Linked DNA regions of Drosophila melanogaster. The protein of the gene in region 1 interacts with the protein of each later gene in a pairwise test. Each region holds a gene or a part of one and is shown in the gene's direction. Other genes may lie near its edges. The genes, in order: CG13040, Bace, bol and CG15422.

Region 1 (7,866 bases):
TGGAGCATTTCCGTAGACCTGTGCCGCCAAATGGACTCCTCGATCGATCAACTGAACCTGGCTAATCGTAGACATGGCGGTGGCCAGGATGCGAAAGGCCAAAGTGCTGGTCACGGCGTGGGCCAGGTCAAAGGGACAGTAAAAGATGCAGTACCTTTTTGAGTGGAAACAAAGCTTCATATAAACAAAATAAATATGTTCCTCACGCACCAGTGAACTATGTAATTTTAATTTATTGAGCGCAATAGATCCCACTCACCAGATCAACGAACTGAGCATGACATCTGCGGTATTGCACAGTGGCTCCAATGGAAGACTACCCAAGAGCAGGTTGCCCAGTATATCGCCAGCGTAGTTCAGCAGCAGGTTGGCAAGCCACAGGACGAAGGGCTGCCACTCCAGCACCTTGTTTCCACCACCTTTTAATCTGAATGATCCTGCAGAAACTACCAGCTCGTCCCGCAGCTGCTGGGAGATCAGGGAATAGTGCAGGATGCGAAAGATCAAGTGATTGGGAAGCTGCCTCAGGATCAGCCGAGCATTCATCCCTCGATTAGCTAGCTGCCCGCACTCCTTTTCGGAGACTTCTGATATTGATATCAAATTTTGGCTTCTCGAATCTTGATAATTTGCCGTTTAAAAGTATTTAAACTACATTTAAAATACTTATTATATTATGAAGAGAATTTGTCTAAACGAAAATATTGACAAGCGAAACTTGGGTGTCTGTACTTGTGTGGATATTTGAATGCAAATAATAATAGTTGTCATGGTTAGCAAAAATTTGAATAGTGCAAAATATCTTGAGGCTTATGATTATTGCTTTATCTCCAAATCTCATTGGATCTCAAATTAAGTTGAGCCTTGATAAAAAGTATTCGAGTTTTATTCACAAGCACTTGAGTCGAATGTGAGTGTTAAGTGTTACTGCTTGATGTTTTAGTAGTTGAATTGAATAAAAGCCTAAACCAAAGCTTTAATTTAATATAATATATAGCACCTCAAACGGGTGACAAATTCCGATTCGTATGAGTGTTCAGGCTGCGAGGTCCTGGGATCAGGGAGGCGTAGCTAATGTTTCGCACTGGCTTAATCCTTGGCAGCATCTGGTGCACCACTGGATGGGCAGCGTAGGTGAGATGGGCGGGTGTCTGTCCAGAGATGACAGGCACCTCCTCCGCCTCCGCCGTTGCCGCCTGAAAGAACCTCTCCACCTGCTGTCGTTCCACTGCCGCCTGGTGATGATTAACAATCCTGGCAGAGGGAACGAGCAGCTGATGTGTTTGCTTTCGGGACTGCAGGGTTAGTGGCTCTGCTGAGGATAATCTGCTGAAGCTCTGGTGGGAAATGGCACTGGCCACCTGTCCGTTGCCATGCAGGATTGTCGTGGCTGCGTGACTGTGGCTCAGGCCCCAGGTGAATACGAGGCAAACAACCTGTTGGTCCGAAATGTGGGAATCAAAATCAGTGGAAGCTGGGAGCTGGTAGCTGGGGATCTCTGACAAAACTATGGAGATTACTCACCGTGATGTGCATGATGGTCACTTGAGTGGGCAACTAATTACCGTTAGACATGTGCCGCTGCCATTTATAGCCGGACTTGGCCAAGAGGACTCCTTGACCAAAGGGGTCGCCCTGTCTTGCCGCTAAGAGATTTATGGGCCATTTTGTGTGCAGCTAATTAATTAATCAAAAGCTACTCCAATACGACAGCCCCTCATGAGCTGCGTGCACTTAGAGCTTCCATTACGCGCCTCCGGCTAATCGGCTAACTGACTGACTGACTCAACATTGCCGGATTGCTGGATTGCCGGCGATTGTGCGAAGCCACGACGGCAACTTTAGCTATATAGAAACCTCTAGCGCCAAATTAGTATTGGTAGTGCCTGAAATACACTATAAATAAAGTGGGCATGTCGGTTTTATGTGCAACTGAAAGTTATAAAAGAAAAAGGGGATACCTGTTTGCTTAAGATGCTTAAGATGGAAAGTCTTATTAGATTGTTAGATTTAGAGTAATACCTGCATAGAGAGTATTCTCTAGTTGTTTTTTTTCAGCTGCCAGAGCAAACAAAATATCGAACCACAAAAGTTGGTGGTGCGGTGGGCGGGCGGCAGAGGTGCGAAGTGGAGCGGAGTGGATCAACCTTCAGCGAGTTGCGCAGACGCAGACGGCGTCGCATGTTGTAGGCTTTGTTGTTGCGGTGCTATTACTACAATATTTGCGGCGTTCGGCATTTATTTATTTATATTTGTTTTTTTTCGGTTTATTTCTTTACGTAAAGCTGCGTCCAAGTTGAGACACTCCCACAATTGCAAGATAACCGCGACTGCGCGCGTGTTTCCAACGCTTCGATCGCAGATCGCGCCGTTCTCCAGCGGCTGTGCGAGCGGGGCTCTACCACTGGTACCTATCCAATCTACCCCCTTGGCATGCTCCACGCCCGCCCCTGTTTTGGGCCAGCAACTGCTCCACCGTGATTTCATGGCACAGCAATTCACACAGCACTTCAGTTTGACTTTGCCACTCGCTCCGCCTTGTGTTTGTTACTTGAAAGGGGAACCTCCAGTCCTCGCTTCCATTCGATCCGTTCCGCCCACCTCAGTTCGTGGTCCGTGGTGTTCTCAGTGATTTACCCTCTCCATAGTCAACCCATTGGGCTTGGATCGATACCATGCGGCATCTGGTGAGTGGGACGAGTATCCCCAAACAGAGTGGGTCGCTTTAAGGGGCTGCCAATTGGGATAGACCTTTACTCATCTGGTTTGGAATATAATGACCTGACAAATATTTAAATTCTAACATCCCTTTAGTTGCTTCTGGCCTTAGTTTACATGGCTCTGGTTTTGGCCAAACCGGCGACGGAGGCGCCTCGTCTGCTCATCGATTCAGCGCCCTCAGTGGTCTCCTACCAGGGTTCCTCACAGGCCCAAACCCGCTTCGTCATCGCGCCCATGGGCCGATCATTGGGCTACGTGGAGCCCACCAATCTCAATCGAACCTTTCACACGAAGGCAACGCAGGAGGGAGGCGCCACCGGCTACGAGCAGCTCAATCTGAGTCCGGTCTACGTGCCGGGTAGCTAGGCAATGGAATCGCATAGTTTTAGTTAGTTAAATGTGTAAATAAAGGCAGCGTGTATAACAAAAAAAAAACTTTATGTGTAAGTGGTTCATTCTCACTAAAACTAAATCGTTATTATTTCGAATTAAGAATTTAATGTGTATCATACATCATATCATAGAAATGACTGCGTATTCATTCCTGTTGAGATTAAGTCAGTAAGCACAAGCTTGCAATATGAACAACCTTATCCCAATATTCACGGAATGCAAATCTCATGAAATGCGTGCATTCAGTTTTACTGACGTATATGTTCTACGAGCACGGCTTCTTATCGGCATCATAGAACTTTTCTTGGATTTTGCAACAAGCAGATACTTTTCAGAACTACATAGAAATTTTCTTGAACTTGAACTTCAAGTGTTTTGCGCTGCTGGTTTCTCGTTTTTCCCCTTCTTTCCCCTTCAGATGCATTTGGTCATGTGTGGATTTCAAATTTGTGTACAGCAAATTGCTTATTAATGGAAAATAGATATGAATTGTAATCAAATTAGGTCAATTCAAATATATAAGGAGCATCGGGCAGGCCTTGCTTAACCACTTTTTAAGTAAGCCTGATAAATAAGGGGAACAATACTAGTTAGCTGCAACGATAATCATGTCGAATACCAGTCGTCGCGATATTTGGGTGCCCAGTCCCGCCATTATACTGCATCAGATGCAATCCAACGAGGATGTGTCCGATGAATCAACTCTGGAATACCATGAGGAATCCAACCAGGCGTGGCGCGAACAGTATATGGCCAAAAACGTGGCCAGAATGGGAGTCGGTTTCGAGTTCGTGAACTCAACCTCTCGCTACATGAGCTCCTTGAGCAGCACCCAGGATGACGATACAGAGAACCACGTGATTGGTAATTCATCTTCCAGCACCACCTATCGAGTGGGGCCCACCATCCGAATCCCCCGTCTCGAAATTCAGTCTTACAGTTCCGGGTCGGATGACGAGAACCTGATCCAGCACCTGGCGTAATCCAAATGCCTATTATTCACAAAATTCCCAGTGCTTGAGAGCCTTATCCGATTTCTTCGTTTTCATCACCAGGATACTCCTGCCTGTCCTACCGCTGCCGCATCTGAGCTCCAATGAATCCGGACTGGAGGCGCGATGCCCTTAATTGTGGTATTTTATAGTATAAAATTAAGTTGCATTTCATCTTGTTTTGTTTGCTATCACGAATCGAAAGACCTTCGTCTAGGCTCTCTGAACCTGAACTAACAATATGTTTGTGGTATCAATCTTTTGGATTATTGTTCGGGCTTTGAAAACCTTTTTCGGACCAACGACAATTGATTGTCGGTTGATTTGCAAGTGAGGGTTCGCAGATGCTTAGTTTAGCGCCGGGTTCAAGTTCAATGTAAAGCAAACAAGTTTTTGCCAATTGCTCGTTAGTTCGTTTTTGCTGAAGGACAATCTAGCTGGCGAACTTTTGGCCATATAAAGCCGTAGACATAGTTTGAAATCAGCATCAGTCACTCGTCGACTTCAAACCTCCTCAAACCAAATCAACATGTTCCGCTTCGTGAGTATTGGAGTATGGAATTTGTGGATATGTTTCAGGATCTAACGTGCTGTTTTTAAATTCAGATTGCTATCTGTGCCCTGGCCACCATTGTCGCCGCTGCACCGGGATTCATTGAGGAGCACCCCGTGGCCGTCGCCCCAGTTGTGGCCAAAGTAGGTGCCGTGGTGCACAGTGCCCCACTGGCCACCTCCCACCAGAGCTTCACCCAGTACCACAACCAGGCGGTGCTCACTCCCGTGGTGAAGCATGTGGTGCCAGCTGTTCCCGTGATTAAGACTGTGGCTCCAGTGGTTCCTGTGGTCAAGCATGTGGCTCCCATCGTGCCCGTGGTCAAGCAAGTGGCTCCCATCGTGCCCGTGGTCAAGCACGTGGCTCCAGTGGTTCCCGTCATCAAGACTGTGCCCGTGGTGCACCACCAGACCTACGTCGCACCCGCTGTCCACCATGTGGCCGCCGTGCCCGTGGTGAAGGCTCTACCCCATGCCGTCTCCCACCAGAGCCACACCCAGGTGCACCACCAGAAGACCATCATCACCCCGGTGGTTGCTCCTGTGGTCAAGACTGTCGCCGTCGCCGCTGCTCCAGTGGCCCATGTCTACCATCATTAGGAAACCTTTTGCTTGAACGGATTGTTATGATTGCTTCTTTGAATAAATTTATTTGTTGATCGTAGAAATTGTGAAATTTTATGAATTGCTCTTTTTGTGGCAAAATTTTGAATAGCTGATCGATTTGATCCAATCCAATTAGCATTTAAATAATCAATTTGAATGACTTTTAGTGGGGTATTCATTAGTATTCATTGGCAATCTCGAGCCGGTAGCCGAGTGCGAAAACTTAAAAAAAATAAAAATACAACACAAAAGTAAAACTGCCTAGAGGCAGCACCAAAAATAAATTATGCAAACCAATTATTGTAGATCTTTTTTTCGTTTAATAAAAAATAAATGAATTGTGGTCGTGCTTTCATACATATGTATGAGTAAATGGCTCTTTAACTTTTACCAATGTTGAACATATCAATTCAAATTTGACATTATACATTGTTTACTCATTACTAGAATCAAAAGTATTTAACAGCTTAGAAGGAAGCGTTTCCGATCACATAAAGTATATATATTCTTGATATGCAGCACTAGCCGATATGATCTGTCCGTCCGTTTATCTGTCCGTCCGTATGAACTTTGAGTTCTCAAGATCTCAAAAGCTGACACAGTTTTGAAAATTGTTTTGATTTTTTTTAAATTTTACTATTTTTTGAACAATTTTCATTTATATGCCAATACCCTTACTAGGCAATGTAACACCTTTACTTTTTAATTAAGATCCAGGACCAGGTCATCGCTTGAAAACATATTTTAGGTAAATGTAGAAATTCATACATTTCGTACATTTCTAAAGAAATCGAAGTTAAATTAAATTTCAATTGATTTTTTTATTTTCTCGTTCAACAAATTTATCATAACCATATAAGTTCGCTTTCAATCGATTCACTTGTGGTAGGCGGAGTAGACAACTGGGGCGCTGTGGACGGTGTGAACCAGAGGGGCAGCTGGGATCACGGTCTTGATAACCGGAGCAGCTGGGATGACGGTCTTGACCAGTGGAGCGGCTGGGACGACAGTGTGGACCAGAGGAGCAGAGGAGACCACAGTCTTAAGGACGGGAGCGGCAGGGATCACAGTCTTGACCAGGGGAGCGGCAGGGATCACAGTCTTGACCAGAGGAGCGGCATGTACCACTGGGGCAGCATGAACAACCGGGGCGGAGTAGACCACTGGCACCTTGCGCACCAGGTTCACGTTGCTCTGGTGGGTGATGGCCGAGGAGGCGCTGGTGTCCACGTAGGCAGTCTTGGCAAGAATCGCCGGCTGGACAATCGAGTGGGTCTCGGCAATCAGACCGGGGGCAGCGGCGGCCACAGCCAGGCAAGCGAAGAAGGCGACCTGTGGAGGAGGATAATGGGTTACAGGACTCTCAGCACTCAGCTTCCATCTCCTAGACAACTCACGAATTTGAACATCTTTGGATTGGTTTTTTTTTGGGGGGTATGCTGTGATTGCTGAATCGATTGCAACTGCTGATGATGACAGGCCAAACGCGGGGTTTTTATAGTTGCCTAGTTTGGTCCAAAGCCCAATTGTTTGTCGCTAAGTACTTGGCTGAACTTGAGCCGCCAACCGGTTTGGGTTTTTAAGTAAAACACTTATTCGGGTTTTCAGTTTTCAGCTGGCTCTGGCTTCTAAGCGCTTATCAAAGACGCAGTTCGTTAACTGACCTAGGTTCCAGCAGCTTTGGCTCTGTGTGTGGGTGATTGTGAGGAAGTCGAGAAGTCGGGACAACAAGCCAGGCCAATCAATCGACAATGGGCCAAGTAATTGGCCTTAGATGCGGTCGCTTACGCAAATGAGACTGCCTGCAGATGGTGGGCTATCCCATTGAGTGCGTGGGCTATCCTTACATCCTTACATCCGTGTCCTTGCACTTCAATCGGCGACACTGCATCTTCCTCCTCGTTGGCCTTTAACAATCACTTGATCCGGCGCGTAATTGAGTTGCATTCTCGTCTTGGGGATACATCTCCATCTTGACTGCTGGATGTGTCTTTGTGGGCATGGGTTGCATCTCCCAGTGCTCGTTATGCGACCTTTTACCACATAACCACATAATTAATGAGTAAGCCAATGTGTGCAAATGTGTAAATACCATCGATGAGGTATCCAATAAGAGTTGCTCACATAACACCAGTAACATTGACAGCTGGAGGTAATCAAAGGTTTGCGACCAGGACAATTGTCTGGCAACGAAGGTGTGTAATTGCCGATTGGTCAGCAAATCGTATTCAAAGGCCTTGACGTGATTACGCGAACTCAGCGAATGGGCTAAGAATAAATGTGCCCTTTGCAAATCAATTGGTTATTTAATTCCAGGAATGAAGGATAGAATCTGTGGCAAGATGTTGTAATATTTTGAGGATATTCGATGGACTTGGTTTAAGAGCAAACCTAATTTATGGAAACTTGTTGAGCAAGAAATATTGCCGCATAAGAACAAAATAAGTTGGTCTATAAATAAAGATATTTCTATTACTCTTATAAATAGACCTTGAAAAGCCAATGATGATAGATCAAATGACAAATCAGTTTTTGAGTGCGTTACAAATCAACGAGGAACTTTATTAGTCACTTTTAATTCGTTATAGAAGTTCAGTACATT
Region 2 (7,809 bases), on another chromosome or scaffold:
ATTAAAGTGTTATTGTTGAGATTTAAGTGCTGACGTCGCGTGCTATAAAGTGTCAATAATTGTGGCCCTAACCAGCTTAACTGACTCGACAACCAATCTAATCGGTTAAAGATTATTGCCTTGATTGATGTCACAAATCATTGCCTACAGATATATTCGACACTTGAGGTTGTCGCGTTTCTGATTTGTTGATATCTTCCAGATTTGCGCCAGATTCCAAGTAAATAATATATGGTTTGAACATCAAACTTAAGTTTGGGAAAACTCACTGCTGTCTGTTGACTTTGGATAGTTAAGTGCGAGCTCATTAGCAGTTTCCATTAGCCAGACTTTTGCACCTGGCATGGTGGAATGTAGTGTCCCCAAAGGCAACTCACCTGTTTGCGGACATTCAGCCGACTTAGGCGTAGTGGCTTTGCCAACTAATCAGTTAAGATGGCATCGCTTCCGCACACAATGCGCAAACCGCAAGGACGAAGGACACGGTTTGGCCGGATCGGGGCAAATCAAACGTCTGCCAACACAAATCCAAATCAATCTTCTGTCTCCGACTGTGCGGGTCTTGTTTGCTTAATTTGACAAACGGAATAATTTGATGTATATCTAAAATGGCAGCCAGGAACTCGGCGGGGTTACCACCTCCTCCTCCTTGATTTCATTGGAAGCCCAGCGGCATGGACACCGCAGAATCCTCCGGCCAATCCGCCGACTTTGTCACTAATTCAATAAGCATCCAATTACAACGCGGCGGGTGTGGCGCTCTCTTCCCCTACCCCCTTCCCCATCCAGTGCCAACCCCCTTCCATGCGTATACGCAATTTTCATTTGGTATATGAAAATTTAATGCAACTAAAAGTGCCTGTCGTGGCAATAATTTCCCCTAATTATATGGCTTTTCCTGCCGTTAGCAGGCTTTGCTAAATTACCTACAATTTATTCAATTTTAGGCGTCAACGGAAACAAAATTAATGCAACGCTAATTAAATAATGGCAAAGGTAAAGGGCTTAAGTTAAACAAACTAGCTGATTTTAATAATATTTTTATTTCGAGTCTAAAATAAACAAATTTTAAGATAGAGGTATAATATCATTCTGAAAAAATCTATTCTTAGATGTGTGGAACTATTTTTGGTAGCAATCCAAATAGAAGACGTTGATTGGGGAATGATAACTTCTCCAAGCGATATACCCATCAAAGTCAATTAATACTGGGTATTGGGATTAAAGCACGTGCTTCCATTTTTAATTGTCGATGCTGGAGGAAGTGGGCTACAATCCTTAGCCCTGGCCTTGCGATTGAATGACCCAAATTCAATTTGCCTGGTTTTGTGTCCAGATTCCAGGTTCGCACCACGAGCACCACCTCCGATTGCCTCACCCAGCAATCATAAGTACGTTTCCAGTTACCAACGCAGCGGGCCACCGAGCGACCCACAAAAGCCGGGGGCTCACAGGGTGCGAGTGTGTCTTGTGTTGTTTGGCCACAATCAAGGCAATGCAATTTCAATGTCTGACTCTCGTGTTACACTTTAGTCCAGGCTGCAGGCCCACCTACCAGCTCCCACCATCGCCATAGCCATCGCCATCCAGACTGCCACTTGGCCAAGGTGAGAGTTTTGCGTAGCAGGTGGGTGTGGGGTGGATGGTTGTGGAGCTGCCAGCCAGGAATCTCATCTCGTTAGACAAATGCCAGTGCTGACTGGGCAACACTTGATTTGGGTTAGCCACCAAGCAGGCCAAACTGTTTGGCCTATTCCGCTCGATGGGATTTGAATGCGGCGGCCACTGCGGGAGATGGGTTTTCATACTCGAGGCGGGTTTCAAATGTCAGATTAAGTAGTCAACTCCTGATTGCTGGACATCCCTTTGAAGTTCCTTAGAACAGCTTGTTAGGCGATAACATCTTCGGTCCGGAGTTGTTCGTTTGTAAAAGGCAATCTTTAAAAAGCTCTTATGAATGAAGCTCCTATGAAAAAACATTATTTAGTTCCAACTGTAGGAAGAAAATAAGCAATCAGAATTAGTATTCCATTTATGAGCCCTAGCAAATGTTCTTTTCCCCGACAATTCATTTAACTGAAAACATTAACTGAACTATTTTCACTTGTTTAATTTATCTGTCATCGCAGTCGGGTTATATTTAATGTGCTTATAGGCCAAAGTTCGCTGGCTAGTGTTGATTTGAAACATCAATATCTTGCTCGATTAATCGCCTGGCACTTGACTGACTCCGAGGCTCATAAACCACGAGTGGGTGCATCGGAGATCGAGCAAGCTGTGAAAATGCAATCGGCGGAAAGAATTCGATGTGGAGTAGAAGAAGGATGAGTAGTGGGTGCTCCTGCCTGAACGAATCGCCCACCTATTGATTACTCGGAGGCAAATGCTCACTGACCGAACCGGATACTATCCATAATAGCAATTTATTTGTTTTCTGGCTCTGCCTCTGTGCTGTATGAAATATATTTACCAATTGTGAATGTTTGCTGATTATTTTTGGTTAAATATTATTTGCATCTCGGTCTAAGCCTTTAAGCCATGTCCACGCACAGCAAATAAAAATAAATCGAAATTCATACAAGCGCACACAATTCGGTGAGTTGTTCGGTTAGTTGGTCAGCCACCCCGGGCGTATACTTTATTTATGTATTTGCCGACTACAATCAACTCCAGTTCAATCCACTCGCGTTGGGCCATAAATCAAAAAATGATTGATAAACGGTTGAAGGGGACTGGGCATGGGCGCTATTTGAGCAGCCTAATAATTGCACATGAAATGTCAACGCAGGAATGCGAGAAACAAAAAGCAGGCGGCCCACGTCGCTCGGTAATCATACGCCCCGTGTGCCCAGTTACCAGTATGGTTACCGAAATTGCCCGACGGTGCGTAAAATCCGTTGATTACTTTATTTTGGGTCGAAAGTGCGCAACGCACTCGCCCGTGGACACCTCCATTTTGGCCCCTTGTCTGTTCGTGTGTTACTAGCCCTCGGCGATAAGAGCGGATGCTCTGGACCACAATTAACCTGTGGCTGACCACCACACAGAATCACCACCCAGAAATCCTCACATTACTGCTCAACATCCCACCATCCCACATGTGCAAACAGTCCCTGCGCTGGCAATAAAACGCAATCGAAACCATGAATCTCCTTTGTCCTTCTTGGCCAATTGAAGTGGCATTTTATTTGATTTTAAATCTGATTTCAATAGGGTCTTAAGCTTAATGGTAGTAGGAGCCATGGCAAGAAGATGACTGCCGCCGGACCTGCATTTGCTTTTTTATCTGCTAAAACGAAATTTATATTTTTATATGACCGAGCAAATAGCTGGTGAAAGTGCTCGAGTGTAACCACTTGATTGGAAGGGAATTTAAGCCGAGGTGAATGCGTTTCCTCTTGGCTGAAAACGATCAAATTCCCACGTTTCCTTAAATTAACCAATTGAAAACAAATTCATTCTGGTAATGTGAGTTAATGCTCGAGCAATTATATCATCATCCTTAGTTACTAAATGATTTGGCTTTTTGCTAAGCAGGGGTTTTGCCCAATATGCCTGGTGAATTTCCCAAATGCATGGTTTTACCCTAAAACCCTAACACACTTATCGCTATCTCTAATTTATTGGCTTATCTGTGAGCTTAATCATGCAATGATATTAAAACAAATTACCATGAAGAGTCACTTATTATTATCGCGTAATGTAAGCACTATCAAAGTCACTCAAAATGTCCAATCATAACAAAGTCCAGCTGCGTATTGGAATTTAGGATTCACTTCTTGAGAACGCTATCGAAAAGATCGAAATATCACCTCACACCTGAAATGATAATATGCCAGATTATAAATATCGAATGCCGGACGAGCATTAAGAACTCATACTGCTTAAGACTGGAGTGGTCAACAAATCTTATCACCGGACAATTTGGGCTGTGATTGATGGCAAGTGCTATAAATTAGACCCGCTACACCGATCGTCAGTTAGTCGAACTCGAGTAGACTAGAAACCAAGAGAATGTTCAAGACCATCGCTGTAGTAGTGCTCCTGGCAGCCCTGGCCAGTGCCGAGCTCCATCGCGTGCCGATCCTCAAGGAGCAGAACTTTGTGAAGACGCGTCAGAATGTTTTGGCCGAGAAATCCTATCTGCGCACCAAGTACCAGCTGCCCTCGCTTCGCAGCGTGGATGAGGAACAGCTGTCCAACTCGATGAATATGGCTTACTACGGAGCCATCTCCATCGGAACTCCCGCTCAGAGCTTCAAGGTTCTGTTCGACTCAGGCTCCTCGAACCTGTGGGTGCCATCGAACACCTGCAAGAGCGATGCCTGCCTGACCCACAACCAGTACGACTCCAGCGCCAGCTCCACCTACGTGGCCAACGGCGAATCCTTCTCCATCCAGTATGGCACTGGCAGCCTAACTGGCTACCTGTCCACCGATACCGTCGACGTCAATGGCCTGAGCATCCAGAGCCAGACCTTTGCTGAATCCACCAACGAGCCGGGCACCAACTTCAACGATGCCAACTTCGATGGCATTCTCGGTATGGCCTATGAGTCCCTGGCCGTGGATGGTGTGGCTCCTCCGTTCTACAACATGGTGTCCCAGGGTCTGGTCGACAACTCCGTCTTCTCGTTCTATCTGGCCCGCGATGGCACCTCCACTATGGGTGGTGAACTCATCTTCGGTGGCTCCGATGCCTCTCTGTACTCTGGCGCTCTGACCTACGTTCCCATCTCGGAGCAGGGCTACTGGCAGTTCACCATGGCTGGATCCTCCATTGACGGTTACTCGCTGTGTGATGATTGCCAGGCTATTGCCGATACCGGCACCTCCCTGATCGTGGCTCCCTACAATGCTTACATTACCCTCTCCGAGATCCTGAACGTGGGTGAGGATGGCTATCTGGACTGCTCAAGCGTCAGCTCCCTGCCCGATGTCACCTTCAACATCGGTGGCACCAACTTCGTCCTGAAGCCCTCGGCCTACATCATCCAGTCGGACGGCAACTGTATGTCCGCCTTCGAGTACATGGGCACCGACTTCTGGATTCTGGGCGATGTCTTCATTGGCCAGTACTACACCGAGTTCGATTTGGGCAACAACCGCATTGGCTTCGCCCCAGTCGCCTAATTAACGATCCGCAATTACGAATCAATAAAGAAACGAGCTCTTAGAATTTTCTACCAAATGTCTGGGTCACCTCAAGTGGGTCACCTTTCGAAGGCTGAAGGTGTAACAATCTAATCTGTTTACAACTTTGTAAGTGGATAGGTTGTGAGTAAGCGACTCCAATTGCGTTTTACAGTCATGGCTATTTATGCTTATCTGCATTTCATATAATAAATGAATTACACATTGGACTTTCTGTAAATTGTTCGAGAATGTATAAAGTATATATAATTTAAGCTATCGTTTACGTAGAAATACCACTCCATTTATTTATTTATTGACACTTAAGGAGACTGAAGTGGTTATCCAAATGTGTTATCCGGTAGTCCGCAAATTCCCAGCTGGCTGTGGGATAAATGTTGACTCCGGACCCAAAGGAGATGGTGTTATGAAGGCAATGACAGAAGCCATCAGCTCCGGGAGCCAATTCATTTGTCCAGCCTGTTGGCCGGGCAATGATGTGTGTCACCGGGTGTCAAGTGGGGACTCTGGTAGCCCGGGGGAATGCCACAGATGTCAGGTATACTGCCGGGGTGTCAAAGGATAGCCAGTGATGTCAGAGAATTGTGCGGGTCTATAGTTTTGCAACTGCAAACACAACAGTGACAACACCCATTTAGGAGTAGCGGCCGAAGGATGCAGGGGCATCCGTGTGCGATGACAGGAAGTGGAAGTGCAGTTGAGCAATGCAAAAAGTGGAGGTCTTGTGAAACTCGGGACAACTCGTGGACAACAGGTTATATTGGCCCTGCTAGCTAGTTTCCAACCCAAATGAGTGAAGCAGGAAGGGGGGGAGAAAACAGGAAGGGTAGCCCAGATTGGGACTGCTTCGTTGAGCAGTTAATGAATCACTTAATGGAAAAACCTGGACGCCACTCGACTTCCGTTGTGGGTGGAAACTCAACTCACCTCGCCATCGACTTCTAATTGATGTTGACCTTAGAACACTAAACCGCTTGGCTTTTCAAATAGTTTATGAAAGCACTGGAAAAGCGCACGAAGTTTATGGCCTCAAAAATATGTAAAATGACTTTGTATATGTTGAAGACAAAACTGTTATAGACATTATTAAATAATAGTGATAATAAAATAATACTACATTTTATATGATATGATAATGGCACAATTTTCAGTGTTAAAGGTGCGTTCGTCACTAGCCTTTTACCTCGTTAATCGTCGTTTTCATTGGAATGTCTTTGCTTAAATTGCAGTTTTCCAAGCTTCGATTTTTATTAAATTATTTCTTAAATTCTTGCAGGAGACAGCCGCACAAAGATGACAAACCGATGCGCTTGCTTCGCCTTGGCCTTCCTCCTCTTCTGCCTCTTGGCCATCTCGAGCATCGAGGCAGCTCCGATGCCCAGGTAGTTGTACCCAATCACCTAGTTGTACCCCAACCACATGCAGACATATCCTTTCCAATTTGGCTGAACACATACAAAAGGACATAGCCTAATTAAATTCCGGCACTTAAGCTGCAAAAACCGAAAAATGTGCCACACAAATATTTGAGGCAAGCAATTATCCCACTGAGTATGAATCTTGCCCATGTGGGAGATGGAAATATACTTAGGCAGCTGAAAAATAAAATATATAAAAGAAAACGCTCACATGGCGAAGGAAAATTTTCAATTAACAAAATGTAAACGTTGACAGAAAAGTGTGTCAAAAATTGCAGTACTTGGCCACACCACTTGAGTCGTTGATGTAGATGTAGCATATTCTAAGGACATGCCTTATGTGTGGTATGGTTTCAAACTCAATTTCCCTTCCATCAAAGTAACTATTAAAAATTCATTGACCCTGGCCAACTAATTAGCAATTGCTCGAATGGAAAATGCTCCAAACATTTGGGCTTTAACATATAATTGGGTTTTCATGCAAATGAAGATTTTAAGCCAGTCGAATGTCAAATTCAACGGGGCCAACGTAATTAGATATCCTGTTCAGCCGCATTGTATTGTATAAATACGAACAAATTCCCCATCTAATTTTCCATTTCGTTGACTTTAAAATAGCCAATCCAATGGAGGATACGGTGGCGCTGGCTATAACGAACTGGAGGAGGTGCCCGACGACCTACTCATGGAACTGATGACTCGCTTTGGACGCACCATCATACGGGCTCGAAACGATCTGGAGAAGTAAGTATTGAAGACAGATATAACTGTCTAATTAGAAATTGTTTAATACATATGTGCAACTAAAGTTCTCTTACTCATTTAAATGCTACCAGTAGTAAGGTTAATTGTTAGAGCCTAATCTAACCAAATCATTTGTAACTGCTAAACTTCTTTCTCTTCCAAAGTTCCAAACGAACCGTGGACTTTGGCTTGGCCCGGGGATATTCGGGTACCCAGGAGGCGAAACATCGCATGGGTCTGGCTGCAGCCAACTTTGCCGGAGGACCCGGTCGGAGGCGACGATCCGAGACCGATGTCTAAGGCGTCTGGATGAGACCGGGCTGCGAATCCTGTGAACGTTGAGGACGAACGTCAACTTTTTCCACCTAAACTTGGCCCATACTTTGATACTTTCCTAGATCTTTCATTTGCATTACGTTTAATTGTTTGTTATTCATTGTACATAAATATTTATTACGGAAATGTCCTCATGCAATTCATCAAAATTTTTTTT
Region 3 (8,720 bases), 7.2 Mb from region 1:
GACCAGTTCTACCGGTAATAATCGGGAGAATGAATTTCAAGTCGAGTTTAAGCTTCAGCGTGCAGATATAGCTTTTTATTCGCTACAAAAAGATACAGCAGCAGCAACAAGTGGAAAATCAATAAGATGACCAGAAAACGCACAGCAAGGTCACACTGTCGTGAGTAAGGCGTTATTTGGTATTTTTTTTTTTTGGTATTCCACAGCTGTTCGCCGCCAACTTTACCCGTCTCGCTCACGCATTGCTCGCTGCTCTTTTTTGAAAAGGGAAATGCGTGAAATTCGTGCGCCGCATTTCCACCAGACCAGAGTTACGCGCCGTAGCTGTGTTTTCCACTCAGTCCCACCAGTCGTCGTCGCGTTACGTCATGGACACTCTAAAATATGAGCCACTTTCGAACTACAATGTAGTTCAGGCAAATAGTGAACACAGAAATAAAACTGTCTTATCTCAATTAAAGAAAAATTTCCCCGAATTGTTTAAATCACAATTAGAAAATATATGCAGCGAATATATAGATATATTTGCATTAGAATCAGAACCTATAACAGTTAATAATTTGTATAAACAACAGTTGAGATTAAAAGATGATGAGCCAGTATACACGAAAAATTATAGAAGTCCTCATAGTCAAGTGGAAGAAATACAAGCCCAAGTTCAGAAATTAATAAAAGATAAAATAGTTGAACCATCAGTTTCACAGTACAATAGCCCTTTGCTATTAGTACCCAAAAAGTCAAGCCCGAATTCTGATAAAAAGAAATGGAGATTAGTAATAGACTATCGCCAAATTAATAAGAAACTTTTAGCTGACAAATTTCCACTACCGAGAATAGATGATATTTTGGACCAACTTGGTCGAGCAAAATATTTCTCCTGCCTTGATTTAATGTCAGGTTTTCATCAAATCGAACTGGATGAAGGCTCGAGAGATATAACATCTTTCTCAACCAGCAATGGCTCATATCGTTTCACGCGATTGCCATTTGGCTTAAAAATAGCGCCTAATTCATTCCAAAGAATGATGACTATAGCATTCTCCGGAATAGAACCGTCTCAAGCATTCCTTTATATGGATGACTTAATAGTCATAGGTTGTTCCGAAAAACATATGCTTAAAAACCTCACTGAAGTTTTTGGTAAATGCAGGGAATACAACCTAAAGTTACATCCTGAAAAATGTTCATTTTTCATGCATGAAGTCACATTTTTGGGACACAAATGCACAGACAAAGGAATTTTGCCGGATGACAAAAAATATGATGTCATTCAGAACTACCCAGTTCCACATGATGCGGACAGCGCTAGACGTTTTGTAGCATTTTGCAATTACTACAGACGTTTTATCAAAAATTTCGCCGACTATTCGCGGCACATAACAAGATTATGTAAAAAGAATGTTCCATTCGAGTGGACAGATGAATGTCAAAAAGCATTCATACATTTAAAATCTCAGCTAATTAACCCAACACTCTTGCAGTACCCAGACTTCAGCAAAGAATTTTGCATAACAACAGATGCAAGCAAGCAAGCGTGTGGCGCAGTTTTAACTCAAAACCATAATGGCCACCAACTCCCAGTTGCTTATGCATCCAGAGCTTTTACGAAAGGTGAAAGCAATAAGAGTACAACAGAACAAGAGTTAGCAGCAATTCATTGGGCAATAATACATTTCAGACCATACATTTACGGAAAACATTTCACTGTGAAAACAGACCATAGACCATTGACATATTTATTCTCGATGGTGAACCCCAGCTCTAAATTAACTAGAATAAGGCTTGAACTAGAGGAATATAATTTTACAGTAGAGTATCTAAAGGGCAAGGACAATCATGTAGCAGATGCGTTATCAAGAATAACCATCAAAGAGCTAAAAGATATAACTGGAAATATATTAAAAGTCACTACAAGATTTCAAAGTAGACAAAAATCCTGCGCAGGAAAAGAACAATTGGATTTGCAAAAGCAAACCAAAGAAATAGCTTCAGAGCCCAACGTATACGAAGTCATAACAAATGACGAGGTACGAAAAGTAGTGACATTGCAATTGAATGACTCGATATGTTTATTTAAACATGGAAAGAAAATTATTGCAAGATATGATGTTGGTGATCTTTATACTAATGGAATTCTTGATTTAGATCAATTTCTCCAAAGGCTTGAATTGCAGGCCGGTATATATGATATCAGCCAAATCAAAATGGCACCGTGGAAAAAAATCTTTGAACACGTTTCAATAGATAAATTTAAAAATATGGGCAATAAAATATTAAAGAATTTAAAAGTAGCGCTACTTAACCCGGTGACCCAAATAAATAATGAAAAAGAAAAAGAAGCTATATTGTCTACATTACATGATGATCCAATACAAGGAGGGCATACAGGCATTACAAAAACCTTGGCCAAGGTCAAAAGACATTATTACTGGAAAAATATGAGTAAATACATAAAAGAGTACGTAAGAAAATGTCAAAAATGCCAAAAAGCAAAAACAACAAAGCACACAAAGACTCCAATGACGATAACTGAAACACCAGAACATGCTTTCGATAGAGTTGTTGTGGACACAATTGGTCCACTACCCAAGTCAGAAAATGGTAACGAGTACGCAGTCACTCTCATATGTGATTTAACCAAGTACTTAGTTGCCATACCAATAGCAAATAAAAGCGCAAAAACAGTCGCAAAAGCTATATTTGAATCTTTTATTCTAAAGTACGGTCCAATGAAGACGTTCATAACGGACATGGGAACAGAGTATAAGAATTCAATAATTACTGACCTGTGTAAATATTTGAAAATAAAAAATATAACATCAACAGCTCATCACCACCAGACAGTTGGAGTAGTAGAAAGAAGTCATAGAACTTTAAACGAGTATATACGATCCTACATATCGACGGACAAAACCGATTGGGACGTATGGCTTCAATATTTCGTATACTGCTTCAACACGACCCAATCTATGGTACATAATTATTGTCCATATGAATTAGTTTTCGGTAGAACAAGTAATTTACCAAAACATTTTAATAAACTACATAGCATAGAACCAATATATAACATAGATGATTACGCTAAGGAGAGTAAATATAGGTTAGAGGTAGCATATGCTCGAGCAAGAAAACTTCTTGAAGCACACAAAGAAAAAAATAAAGAAAATTATGACTTAAAAATAAAAGACATAGAATTAGAAGTAGGAGATAAAGTTTTACTAAGAAATGAGGTAGGTCATAAATTAGACTTTAAATATACGGGGCCCTATAAGATAGAAAGCATAGGAGATAATAACAATATTACGCTACTTACTAATAAAAACAAAAAACAAATAGTTCATAAAGATAGATTAAAGAAATTTCATTCATGATTGAATTTAAACTTATATTTTCCTTAATCATTTATACAAATTTTCCATACACTACGTATATTTTTATCTTTGCATTATAAAATCAACTATTGTTGTTCAAACAAAAACACAAACAAAATAAAAATAAAAATAAAATAATTTGCATTTAATAATCAAAATAACTTCACTAGGTTACGTTATTTTTCAAAAGGAGGGAGATGTAGTATGTGCCTATGCAATATTAAGAACAATTAAATAAAATAGCATATTAACTTATGGCAGCACTTTGTTGCTATGTTTATGTTTATGCACGCAGTTAGGCCAGGGCGGATGTAACATGATCACCCACTCGAAGGCCACAAAGTATAAGTGCATTGCCCACTCGAAGGCAAAAAGTATAAGTGCATGGTCAGCATTCACACGCCGACCAAATACATATTACATACGTACATACATATCTCGCTCTCCCGATAAGCCTAGATATATAAGATATACATAAGAACGCCGCTCCGCTGCTGGCGTACCCGGCAGCGCAGCTACGCGGATTAGCCTAAGTCAAAATATATAAAAAACTGTAAAATCGGAGAGACTCTGTAGACGTTGAGCTGACAGAACCATTTCTGCCTACTCTAAAATCAAAAGAAGAAATTGAATAAATATATGTCAGCCCGACGGCTGCCTTCAACTTAAAACGGACTTGTGTTCTTAATTGGAGTTCATCATTACACGAGAGCAGTTGTAGAACTAAAATTGTTGTGCTATATCGCTAAACGGTGAACGGTAAATATTGAAGAGAGTTTTCCTGGCTTCAATTTTCCTTTGCAATCGCCCCCACCATCCTTGGAATTTTGGGTTTTTTGGAAGAGAAAAACACATGTGGTGTGTCGCCACAGTGTTTTGGTTTTTCTCGGCCGCCCAAGTAGACGGCGCGTAGTTTTTCATTTTGACGGGAGTTTTCCTTTCGGTCGTCGCCTTACACTCATTTCTAATTGTGATTCGTAGGAAGTAAGTTGTCTAGTGCTATATATATATATATTCAAGTAAAATTGTTTTAAATCGGAACACACAACAATAATATATACAAGTAAACACCACTAAATATCGGAAAAGAAAGAAGAGCAAATAATTAAATTACAAAAGAAACCAAGAGAATATCAAGCTAAATCCCATCATCCCATCATCCCATCGTTTTTGGTCTTCTGGTTCTTGTTCATCACCGACGTTATTGATATTGATATTGAATACTGGATATTAAGATACATATATACAAACGCATCGTATCTGGGATAAACGTTCATCACAAGGAATATTAATGATACGCAAAGGCTGTAACTGTAAACTGTGTCCCCTCTCACGTAAGACGTAACGTAAGGCAGCCTGTGGAAACGACGTAGTTTGGACGCAATCAGAAAAATCTCCAAGGAGGACGCAGCTAACGGTGAGTTTTCCTGATGACAGAACAGGGGATTGCTTTTGGGTGGGGGGAGGATGAATGTCACTCGCAGGGAAAATGAAAAATGCCAGGCGAAAATTCTTGGCCATGCAACTCGTTTGGCCGCTCTGCCTCTTTCGCTCCCGCGTACGCTTATGTGTGTGTTTATGCAGCGGAAAACGTGTATTCTTGAGAAAAACCAGAAAATCGAAACCCGGAATTGGGTCAGTATGTCACACGCCGTCCCGCTCCCACCGATTCCAATTCCGATTCCGATTCGAGCTGCTAGTCTGGCTAAAAACTCTGGCTAAAACGTGTTTCGTGCTTAGTCAATTTGTTCTTTTTCATCTAGTCGCAGCTGCGCTGCCGCAGTTGGCGTCGCTGCACGGCCACTTGACTAAAAGCGGCCTAAACAGCATCGCCTCCAGAATGCCTAAAAAACAAAACAACAACATGTAGTGCCGCTGCACGTGTGCGAAAGAGAGGGCGGCGAAAGGTGGGAAAAAGACAGAATGTCTGTCACCCGCGCGACCAACTTAAATACCCTGTACTTATGTGAGGGAATATTGTAGAACAGCTTATTAGTATAGATTCTACACAATAAAACCGTTTAATCATATCACGAAATATTGATAATTAGTACATACAAAACATATGTGGTTTTGTCAGCATAACAAATAATATTATAATAATATAAGGTCAATACATGAGATTTTTAGGCCCTAATATAATTTTCCTAGAGGCAGAACTGCTTTTTTATTTATTATTAATTGCTAGATTCTTTTATACAAAGATAGTTACTTTTTAACTTACACATGTATGTACATATGTATGTGAATGTACATATATGTATATGCTGAGTATCTCCTATTCGCCAGCTTATCTTTTGTGATGTAAAATGATAAATGGCTCGCTCTCCGACTTTCGTAGTTTTGCCTCTCTCTAGTTTTTCGGCCACTCGCTTCACTTGATCTTGCACTCGGATTTCGGCCGAGTTGCAGTCGACAGCGCTGTCAGCGTCGACGGCGACTGCGGCGGCGGCGCTTTTACCTTGAGCACGCCTGCACTTGTCACAGCCCCTCCCCCCGCCCACCGACTCACACGCCGTTTGAATTTGAACTTCTGAAAAAGCCAACACCTTTCGAAATTGTAGCCGCTTTTATTTCTTTTTCTTTTGCCTCCGAGCAGCGGCATTTTTATATTTCTGATGTTTGCTAATAAAATTATTACGACTTGGCCGACAGCGGCTGCTAATGCGTTTTAAGGTCGCCGACGCTGCTCTTGTTGATTTTGATCCAATAAAAAAATGTGATGATGCCCCGCTTAGATTTCTCGGTCCATTTAACATGTGTCCATTGGCCCAGGATCCGATTTGATTTATTTCAAAGTTATTTATTATACAGTCAGGCGAAAAGCAAAACAAACATGAATGGGGAAAATTGAAGGCAAATGGCAGACAGCTGGTGCTCATTTTCCGGGATGCGAAAAAGGGATAGAATTGGGATAGTGCACTGAGAAAAATCAGTGAAAGAGTTCATATCATATCATACTGCATATGTTTGCATCTCAAGAATCTCTTTGTATGAGTAGAGATCAAATGGATAAGGAAACAGCTTTCGTTCATGAGATGTCTATCTCTAAAAACTACTTATAGGTGGAAATTTATTCTAGACAAGGGTAGAGAGCACTGCAAATACGTATCCAAAAACAACTCCCCAGATAATTCATCATTACATCATAACCGTTGCGAATTCATGACTAATGGCCGATGATTTTTCTCTCTGTGGGGAATACGCGACGTCGTGGGATAGGGATAACAACACGGAAGAGGCTCCATTATAGGTTGCTGGTTTACTAGTTAACTGGGCTCCAGCCAAGGGAGCGAAAGGGAAAGGTGACGAACGAGAGGGAGAGAGCGAGAGAGCTAGGGGGAATCTGAATTACAGAGAGTGGGCGGGGGTGGTGACACTGACAGTGGAGCACCTTCGTCATCGTCAAACATTCGGGCTGTATAAGAGCAATAAATAATGCACACGAAGAGCAGTGATGAGAGCCAATGATATGGGAAAATATCGGACGAGAAATTCGACAGAGAGAGAGAGAGAGAGAGAAAGCGGAGAGAAATTTGGGGGGCGAGCGTAAGAGATTCGCCTTGGGGGGTTGATTGTGTTTAATTTTTGCACTTAAGAGCGCAAAAAGTGGCTTTGATTTTCCGCCGGCCCTTCTCACGCAGCTTGGGGCATGCCAACTTTGATGGCCGATTTGACCAACCCCCAGGAGGGAATTCCCAACTTGGCTCATTAAATTGATAACATTAAGCAGGCGATATTTAATTTGATTTTCTCCAGACACAAACACAATCTGATACACAAATTGTATAGATTCTATAAGTTATAGTTTTCTGAAGATTTAAACTTAAAACAAAATTACTGTACTGTTTTCATAGTGTAAAATACCTATGCTAATTTTAGTTTTCGTGGCACTTTTAAATATTATACATAAGCATGATAATTTGTCAAAGTTTCTTGTAGTGCATATATTTTTCGCAGAGAGCATCCACTCAAAAATATTTCCGTATTCTTGGCAACATTGTTGTTGGCGATGGGTTAGTGGGCGGAAAAGTGGGTGTTGCGTGGGCAGTCGCCCCACATTTGCATGTTCCCAACACGGCACACATTTTCTCGCTTCTCTGCGCCGCTCACGCGTCTCTCTCTCTCTCGCTCTCTCTTGCCATTTTTCTCGCTCTCTGGACGGATGCCCAAGTATATAGCCCAAAGTCCCAAATTGGGATAGGGATGCGAAGGCTATAGCGCTAACCTATATAATTTTTTGTGTTCCGCTTCTAACAACAAGCACATCCTCTGGTGGTGCTCCAACCAAAAAAGGAAGGAAATCAAAACCTCTGGCAGTTGAAGGTTCTTTTTTCCTACACACTTTTTTAAAGCAGTTGCTGATTTTAATATATATTTTTCCACGTTTGTGGGGGCAGAGCAGCAGCGTTTTTTTTTTTTTTTTGCATTGCTTCTGGCTTTGAATTTAATGTTAAGTATACGCATCAGTGAACTCAATTTAATTATCATGATTGTTTCGTCCGCTGCCTGTCTTTGCTTTCGCTCTGCTTTGCCGTTGATGAAATTCAAATTTTCCAACTTCACAAACAGACGCTTCTCGCAATTTTCCAACGTGTTTTCCGCTGTTTTTTTTTTGTCCAGCTTATGTAAGTGAAGCGCTGAGAGCTGATAAAAATGAAATGAAAAAAAATTACCTAGCTAGCGGACGGACGGGACTGGCTGGCCATAATTACGAGCTTTAGATTCGCTCGCCCTTCGCCCATTTTTTATCAGTGGCGTTATTTATGCGTCCTCCCACAATGACAAAGTTTCACGGAGTGGTTGATAGTGTGGGTGGGGGGGCAGTGGTGGTGGTGGTGGGGGGTGCGCCTTTGATAGACAACAATTGAGCATTTGAAGTGCAGCGTAGCGCAAAGAGAGCTCAAAAGTGGAAAATATGTGGAAAAACAAAACTGAACTAAACTGAACTGACTGACTGCTATTCTCGTCGCAGCCGAAAACCCAAACGAAAAGCAATTAAGTTGCCTCGGATCATTGCACAATAAGTAAAGAATCAAAAAGCTCGAAACATAACTGTGTTTGCTGCCCGTCCAGCCAAAACCGTTGACGTCGCTGCCAACTTCGCAGTCGCTGCCGACGCTGCACACTGCTTTCGGCCCATATGAATAACAATAGGGCCAGTTGGCTGGTCGGCCAGAACCCAACGAATTCGGTTAATTAGTATTATAACTAGAAGCCCCCCAAAAAATAGGTGTTGCTCACCACGCCTCATTGGCCTGGATTTTAAACAAAACCAGTCAGATTAGCACAAAGCAGATGCGAACAAAACGCAGTTTTATGAATTAAATTACTTTATTTAAGATTTTA
Region 4 (6,775 bases), on another chromosome or scaffold:
AAAATCGTTTATGAATTTCGTGGGCTTTTGTTTTGATTGCGACAATACGTGAGAAGCAATTATACGGCGGCACATGAAAGTGAGATCCGGAAATTGGCTTGAGTTTATGTACATGTATACGCATAAGAAGACCTTGGTTTTCCTGGAGTTCTGGGCGTGCAAACCGCAGGCATTAAAGGGACAACTTTGTGCTCCCTTCAACTTTTGCCTCATTTTTGTTTCTTTCGCTGGTTAATTTTTGCGCCTCGCGAAAAGAAACAAATTTTCATGCAAATGGAAATGGAAAATGCAAATTAACAAGTTCCTTAATGGCCTTGTGGGCGTAAGGGGGAGTGGCGGTTGCTGGTGTACACCTATGGCTGTAAAACTGTGAGCTGATTTCAATTAAAAGTTGAGAGGAACGCAAGCGTCAGTGCTTCTAAAACTATTGTGCATAAGAAACCGTTTTAATTTACAATATAGAGTTCAAAAATGTAAAAATATGTAAATTCTTTTTTTAATAATATTTTTAAAAATATTTAAATTATTGAATATGCTAAGCACATTGCCTAATTGTAAAAATATTCGACAACATTTTCGTAGTTACGCTGCAAGATTTCAAGAGTTTAGCAAAACTGTCAAGTCATCCCTCACCTCTGGCAGCATTTTGCCTTTCCGTCTTCAGTTTTACAACTCTATCAATCATCAACTTGCAGCGAGTGCCTGAAAACGGTAGCTCAATAAAATGTTCTTGAAAATGTTCGAAAAACATCTCAGCCCAACCCCGAAAACACTTTTCAGATACGAGTATTGCCATGACATGTCGACAAAAGCAATGATTCCTTTTGGGTAACCCATTTCTGCACCAACCGATTTTCCAACTTTCCCGATTTTCTTGCCAACTCTTGCTGCGTTACGCGATTTCCCAGCCACACTTGCATGTCATGACATGAGCAGGAAATGCGTTTTCTGACGCCGCTGCTAAAGAAGCCTCGTAAAGGTGGTATGCACTGAAGAAAAATGCATACAATCAATTTTTTCATAAATCCTTTATACACATTTCAACGTACATGTTGTTATTCTGTATAAAACCGATATTTTTTTTTTCAAAATTTTAAATCCCTTTAAAAATAATAATTACAATAATTTGGACTTTTGTGCGAAGCTGAATTTTGCAAATACTTTCATTTGATTTCTCTCAGTAAACGGGTTGCGAAATTTCGGATAGCTGCTTTTCCTGGTTTCTTGGTTAGGCTTACGGTTACGGTTTTTTGGCTATGCCGTGTGCCTGGTTCCGTTTCTTGTGCACCAAGCGGAGCGCCATAAATATTTAAATTGTGCGACGCCGCCGCCACCGCTTAAAACCACCAGAACCACCATCCCCCCAACCACATCCCCATCCATTTGCAACACCCCTTTTGCCACGCCCCCTTATGCGCCTGTCTTGCATGTTGCTTGCCGGCTTATTTTTTGACAGTTATCGATTCGAGGGCGCTGCCTCAGTTTCAGCTGCAGATTCAGATCCAGATTCAACTCCCGATTCCAAGCCCCAATTTTCTGATTTTGATTCTTCACTCGGGGACAGAGACATTTTATCTTGCCAGGACTCAATTCATTTCCTAAAATATGCACAAGGAGTTAAAAAATACATGTGGAAAAAGCGGAGGCTTCAAAGATGACGCACTTAATACACTTTTTCGAGTAAATTCGCTTGAGAAATTTTCTTTTTCTTCAGAGGTCTTGAAAATTTACATTATTTTTTATCCCCAAAGTGAATTGGCTACGTTTAAACTATCGTTTTTGCTATGGACAGTGATTTCATTACAGCCAGTTGGGATTTCCTTTTAATGGCTATAATAACTAAAGTGAGTGACTGTCATGCGGCCTGCCACGCCCCACCAACGCAGCGCGCCCACAAAAGCTCAGTCGATATGTTGCGCGTTATGCGGCACTCATTTCCTTCCTTCTTTTGCGTCAGTTGAAAACTTTGCCCGAAACTCGTTTGCCACTTTGTGCATGTTTAACTTTTTAGGGCAAGCACCCTTAACCCTTAAGCCGTAACCCTTAACCCCAGTTCCTTGATCGAAGTGACAATTCAAAGAGCGAATGAAATGCGAAATGCAGCACGAACCACTCAATTAAGTACAGCCAAAAAGGCTGCCGCTCTCCTGGTTGTCAAATCGAATATTCCGAATTTTATTTGATCAAGTGATTGAGATTCAGAGAGTCCCGAGAGACTTTTCTTGATTGACCGTCAGAAATTACCATGTTTTTCTATCCATACATTTAATATTTACCCACGTCGCCCCTCGAGGCAAAATCGTGTCTGCAAACTTTGCATAATAGACGTGCAAATGTTTGCCAAATATTTGCCGGCTAAGGAAAATGTGTAAAGAATTATTGGGAATTTTTCGGGGCTGAAAATTGGATAAATATTTGTGGCTTGACAACATTTTCTCAAGCTAAAGTTTGTTTTCACTAGAGTTAAGGAATTTAATCGCATTTAACCAAATACAAATATTTGCACGTTGGTTCATTTCCTTTCTTCGTGACAACGAAATACTTTATTTCTTTTTAAAACTTTAAACAAGTATTTACATGACTATATGTAAGTTAAGGAGAAATCCCCGGAAAAAACCAAACATGACTCATTAAAGAAACGAGGAAAATCTATTGATATGCAGGCTCAAATTTGAATTGAAAAGCTTATTCGAAAAAAGCTTTACCATTTGCCAATTTTCAGTTTATTTATCGATAACTTTGCTCTAGAAGCAATACTTTCGTCAATAGAAATAATTAAGAGTACCTACCTACCTATTCGCTATCAGCAAATGCTGATATTGAGCTTTTTTATGACGGCAAATATTTTGGCGTTTGTTTGGTTAGTCAGTCCCATGAGTTGGGCATTCGCTTAATTCAGTTACCAGCGATAAGTCGACACATTTGGACGGACTTTCTACAGAAGATTAGTGCACCACTATGCCACCACCACCCCACGATCATTGCGGCGGACCGCCTCATCGTCGTGGACCCGTGATTAAGGTACAGATTGCACCACCATGGCCACGCCGCCATCACCGCCCACCACCCCAAGTTGTGGTGGTGCAGCAGCAGGCTCCGCCACCGCCACCAGTCATGGTGGTGCAACAGGCGCCTCCGCCACCGTACTACCAAAATCCACCACCACCACCACCGCCCGGCAGCAGCCACTACCACAATCCACAGTATTGAGAAGGAACTTTGATCTGTAAAATCCTTCACAATGAATTTATACCACGTAGCCTTACTTAACAACTATATGTCCTCAATAAAGTATAACCTTATAAACTAAGTTTTAGTTTATAGTTTTTAGTTTTTTTGCATATTTGTCATGAGTAATGGTTGAGTTTCAATCGAGTTGATTCCATCACACACACTCCCTCTTTTTATTATCAAAATCTCTAATCCGTGTTTTTTTTTTTTAAGTCTTTATCGGAACACCTGGTTAATTTAGACGGCAATCACTTGTTGTTTTGTTAATGTCTAGCAAAACTTTAATTCATTTTCACCAATGCTCTGTCAATGCTTCTATGCTCCTATATCAGAAATAATAACGCGTTACCCATAGATAAGCCGGAATCAGTTAATATAGTAAACAAAATGCGAGTAAAATAGCGAAACCCGATCACCTGTAAATGCACAACTGTCCGGTCGCTGTTATCAGACCTTGTCGAATGACTAAGCCATCTTATCTTTGCCTCTAACCACTGGAATAATTCCCACAAACCCTGATTGATGGAGCTTCGCAGTTCCAGTTTGTTTCGAGCTAGACGTGTTGTGCCACGGACTTTCCAGTATTCAACGCGTTGCTGGGTGGTGAAGTTGGTTCGGTTGGCTGGTTGATTATTTGGCTAGTTAATCAACTATGCGGTACTATGAAGATCCATGTGGCTATCCTCCTCGCCATCACCATGGTCGTCCAAATATCGAAATTGATGTGGTTCCCGGTTGGGGTGGCGGCTACTATCCGCCGCCGCCTCCGCCTCGGCCCGCCGAGGTAGTCTACATGACCCCGGCGGCTACCTATGTGCCCGGCACACAGGTGATAATGCCGCAACCCTACGGCGGCGTCACGGTGGCCACCACCAATGGATACTATCCGCAGCAGCAGCAGCAGGCGTACGAGTATCAGTACCAGTATCAGCAGCCCTACAACAATCCACCGTATCCGCAGTGGTGAACGAGGTCGGAATGGAAACGAAGCCATCACCACTAACAAAAAAAAAATATACTATCGATGGAGTGAAGGAAGGGATAGATAACAAGAAATCAAAACAAATATCACTTTGTCCTAATCTTAAGTTGAAATGACAACGCAAATGGTGCAATGGTCTTGACATTACGCACCACAAAGTTAACAAGTTAATAACCAGAGGAAGGTACAAAAAAACAAAACTGGAATTTAACTTTAACCGTTTCAAAGAAAATATAATTGTGCTATATAACCTTAAAACGAAATAAATAAAATATCTTGCTCTTCAAAAAACCTACCCGTCTTTAATTCTAAAAATATTCTAAATACTGCATTATCGATTTTATTTATGTTTATGTAATTTAGTGTGAGTCATCAATCAGAAGCATGGAATTAAGTCCTTCCTCTTAAATATAAAATTGTGATTCATGGAAACCTTGAACTCTCCTCATGAAATTCAATTCGGAATTTCGTATTTATCAAATGGCACTTATCAATTTTATTTTTTTTTTATCGAAAAAAACACATTTATTCCACCTGACAAGATAACCAACTAAGCTACTGTGCAAAACGCACATAACAAAATTAGGAAAAAAAATTCCCCCTCATTAGCGATAAAAATTGACTTAAATAGTTAAGCAGGCGAAGAAGCAAGTTCAGTTCGAGAAAGCAGTCAAAGGCATTCACTTCACCCACTAAGGATACAATACTTGGATAGTTTCTGAAGAAAATGCCGTACTACGAGGAGGAACGTCGTCATCACCATCATCACCATCACGGTGGAAGGCCAATTGTAGAGGTGGACATTGTGCCGCCAAGGATTCCTCGACCAGTGATTGAGATCGGAGTGGGCGGCCGGTATCCACCACCACCGCCCAGGGTGGAGGTCATCACACCAGCTGCCGTCTACCAGCCGCCACCACCACGACCCATTATCGAGGTGGATGTGGTGCCACCAAGAGCTCCCTTCATCGAGTTCAACATCGGCGGTCGGCGTCCACCTCCCAGGGAAGAGGTCATCATCGTTCAGCAGCCCCCACCGCCCAGGTGGTAGGCGTGGTCTCCATATGACCGTCGTTCAACAACGAAGTAAAAAACTTTAAAAATATTTATTAAACTTCATGTATTTCTGCAAATAGAAACTATAAACTAACTTTTTACAAAACCTAAGCTCTTGTATAATAAAAATAAAAAATAAATAAACAGTTCACTCCTTCATGTTTGAATTTCGTGTTTATACTACTATATACTATAGTATACTATATATTACGCACATATTTCTTCATGTAAGCTGACATTTTAATTTGCCTCAATCTTATTGCCAATGCAATTGTAAATCCGCTCGAAATATTTGCTTAAATAACTTAAATGCACTTTACCTTAATTGAAATATACTTGATTGGTTTTCAATGTCGGTTCTTGCTGTGACACATTTTCATATTGCGAATATATATGCCTGCATTTATTTGCAATGTTAATGGTACAAATATGAAAATTGAACTGCAGGCGAACGACATAAACAATGGTCATGGTCATGATTCCTTTTCCACTCTCTATTTTCCGTACGGGTAATTGCTTTCGTGGATTTTTTGTGGTTTTTGTATATATTATTTGGCTTCGGTTTTGCTATCTGACTGGTGGGAAATGATTGATGTCCTCTGGTCGTAGCCAGCTTATCAATTATTGTACAACTAGTGCTGTCAGTACATAAACATATTTTAAGCTTTATTATAACGAAAACTGGGCAATAGTTTTCTCAATTTAAATGGCGTAATAAATATAAAAGATCTTGCTGGACTCAAAGTAAAATTTGAATTATGATTTTATATGAAAAGTTATACCATTCTTGCCGTATTTAAATAAGAATTGCATATCCAACTATGGCTTAAAATGTATATGTATACAAATGAAAAATATTTTTCATGATAAGAGTTCGGGAATTGATATCTAAAAAAGAATTAATTACTCATGAAGAGAAGAGTCAAGATAATTATTTTTGGATTCTTAAACTATCGAGAATAGCAAGTAAAAATGTATCCTAAAAAACCACTTAAGAAGAGGTCTATGATGAGTCACTCTAGAATGAAAAGTTCAACATCCCTAGAACATATGAGTCACAGAAAATCGAGGGATTGAGAGATTGAATCACAACTGCTGCAGCAGAATTACGAGTTTGATCCATCACTGTTGTGATAAGCGAGTCCTCAATTTTTCTTATCGCATTCAAACTGGCTGTATAAAAAGGTTATAAGTTAAAGTTAAAAGCCAAATTGAAGTGCAGTCGAGCAGAGACAACTTAGAGCCAAGACAAGACAGAGCCATGTCCGACATCAATATCAACCTCAAGTGCGCCGAGTGCAACCATCCTCGAGGAGTCCTGTACTATGCAAATCCCCTGGCTTGGGGCCGTCCTTGTCGCCAGTGCCGCAGGATGATGTCCCGAAATGTTGTGGTTGTTCCCACTCAGGTTGCAGTTCCAGTTGCTACCAACAACAACATCACCACCACTACTACATTTGTACCAGTCGCTGCTGTGTCCACCCAATAAATGGAAAAATATGCTCT

The links.
Region 2: the proteins of CG13040 (region 1) and Bace interact in a two-hybrid assay, tested with the Drosophila melanogaster proteins (one large-scale study listed by BioGRID).
Region 3: the proteins of CG13040 (region 1) and bol interact in a two-hybrid assay, tested with the Drosophila melanogaster proteins (one large-scale study listed by BioGRID).
Region 4: the proteins of CG13040 (region 1) and CG15422 interact in a two-hybrid assay, tested with the Drosophila melanogaster proteins (one large-scale study listed by BioGRID).

Annotation. Positions count from the first base shown.
Region 1 is NT_037436.4:16,322,538-16,330,403, reverse strand, and holds CG13040 (uncharacterized protein), read left to right. Parts: upstream 1-3,646; 5' UTR 3,647-3,722; coding exon of another isoform or gene 3,723-4,097; exon of another isoform or gene 4,098-4,169; 5' UTR 4,170-4,635; coding exon 4,636-4,647; intron 4,648-4,712; coding exon 4,713-5,258; 3' UTR 5,259-5,321; downstream 5,322-7,866. Other genes in the region: CG33061 (uncharacterized protein), read right to left, coding at 1-154, 260-546; CG13058 (uncharacterized protein), read right to left, coding at 1,002-1,436, 1,525-1,536; CG13038 (uncharacterized protein), read left to right, coding at 2,676-2,687, 2,815-3,087; CG13039 (uncharacterized protein), read left to right, coding at 3,723-4,097; CG13059 (uncharacterized protein), read right to left, coding at 6,141-6,596, 6,662-6,673.
Region 2 is NT_033779.5:8,492,474-8,500,282, reverse strand, and holds Bace (beta-site APP-cleaving enzyme), read left to right. Parts: upstream 1-3,975; 5' UTR 3,976-4,014; coding exon 4,015-5,133; 3' UTR 5,134-5,390; downstream 5,391-7,809. Other genes in the region: Dh31 (diuretic hormone 31), read left to right, coding at 6,448-6,539, 7,191-7,316, 7,481-7,616.
Region 3 is NT_037436.4:9,125,965-9,134,684, reverse strand, and holds the start of bol (boule), read left to right. Parts: upstream 1-4,329; 5' UTR 4,330-4,788; intron 4,789-8,720. UniProt on the Drosophila melanogaster protein: RNA-binding protein that plays a central role in spermatogenesis. Required for meiotic entry and germline differentiation, at the transition between G2 and M phases of meiosis I.
Region 4 is NT_033779.5:4,001,173-4,007,947, forward strand, and holds CG15422 (uncharacterized protein), read left to right. Parts: upstream 1-3,811; 5' UTR 3,812-3,883; coding exon 3,884-4,198; 3' UTR 4,199-4,498; downstream 4,499-6,775. Other genes in the region: CG34176 (uncharacterized protein), read left to right, coding at 2,959-3,210; CG15423 (uncharacterized protein), read left to right, coding at 4,941-5,264; CG43773 (uncharacterized protein), read left to right, coding at 6,531-6,758.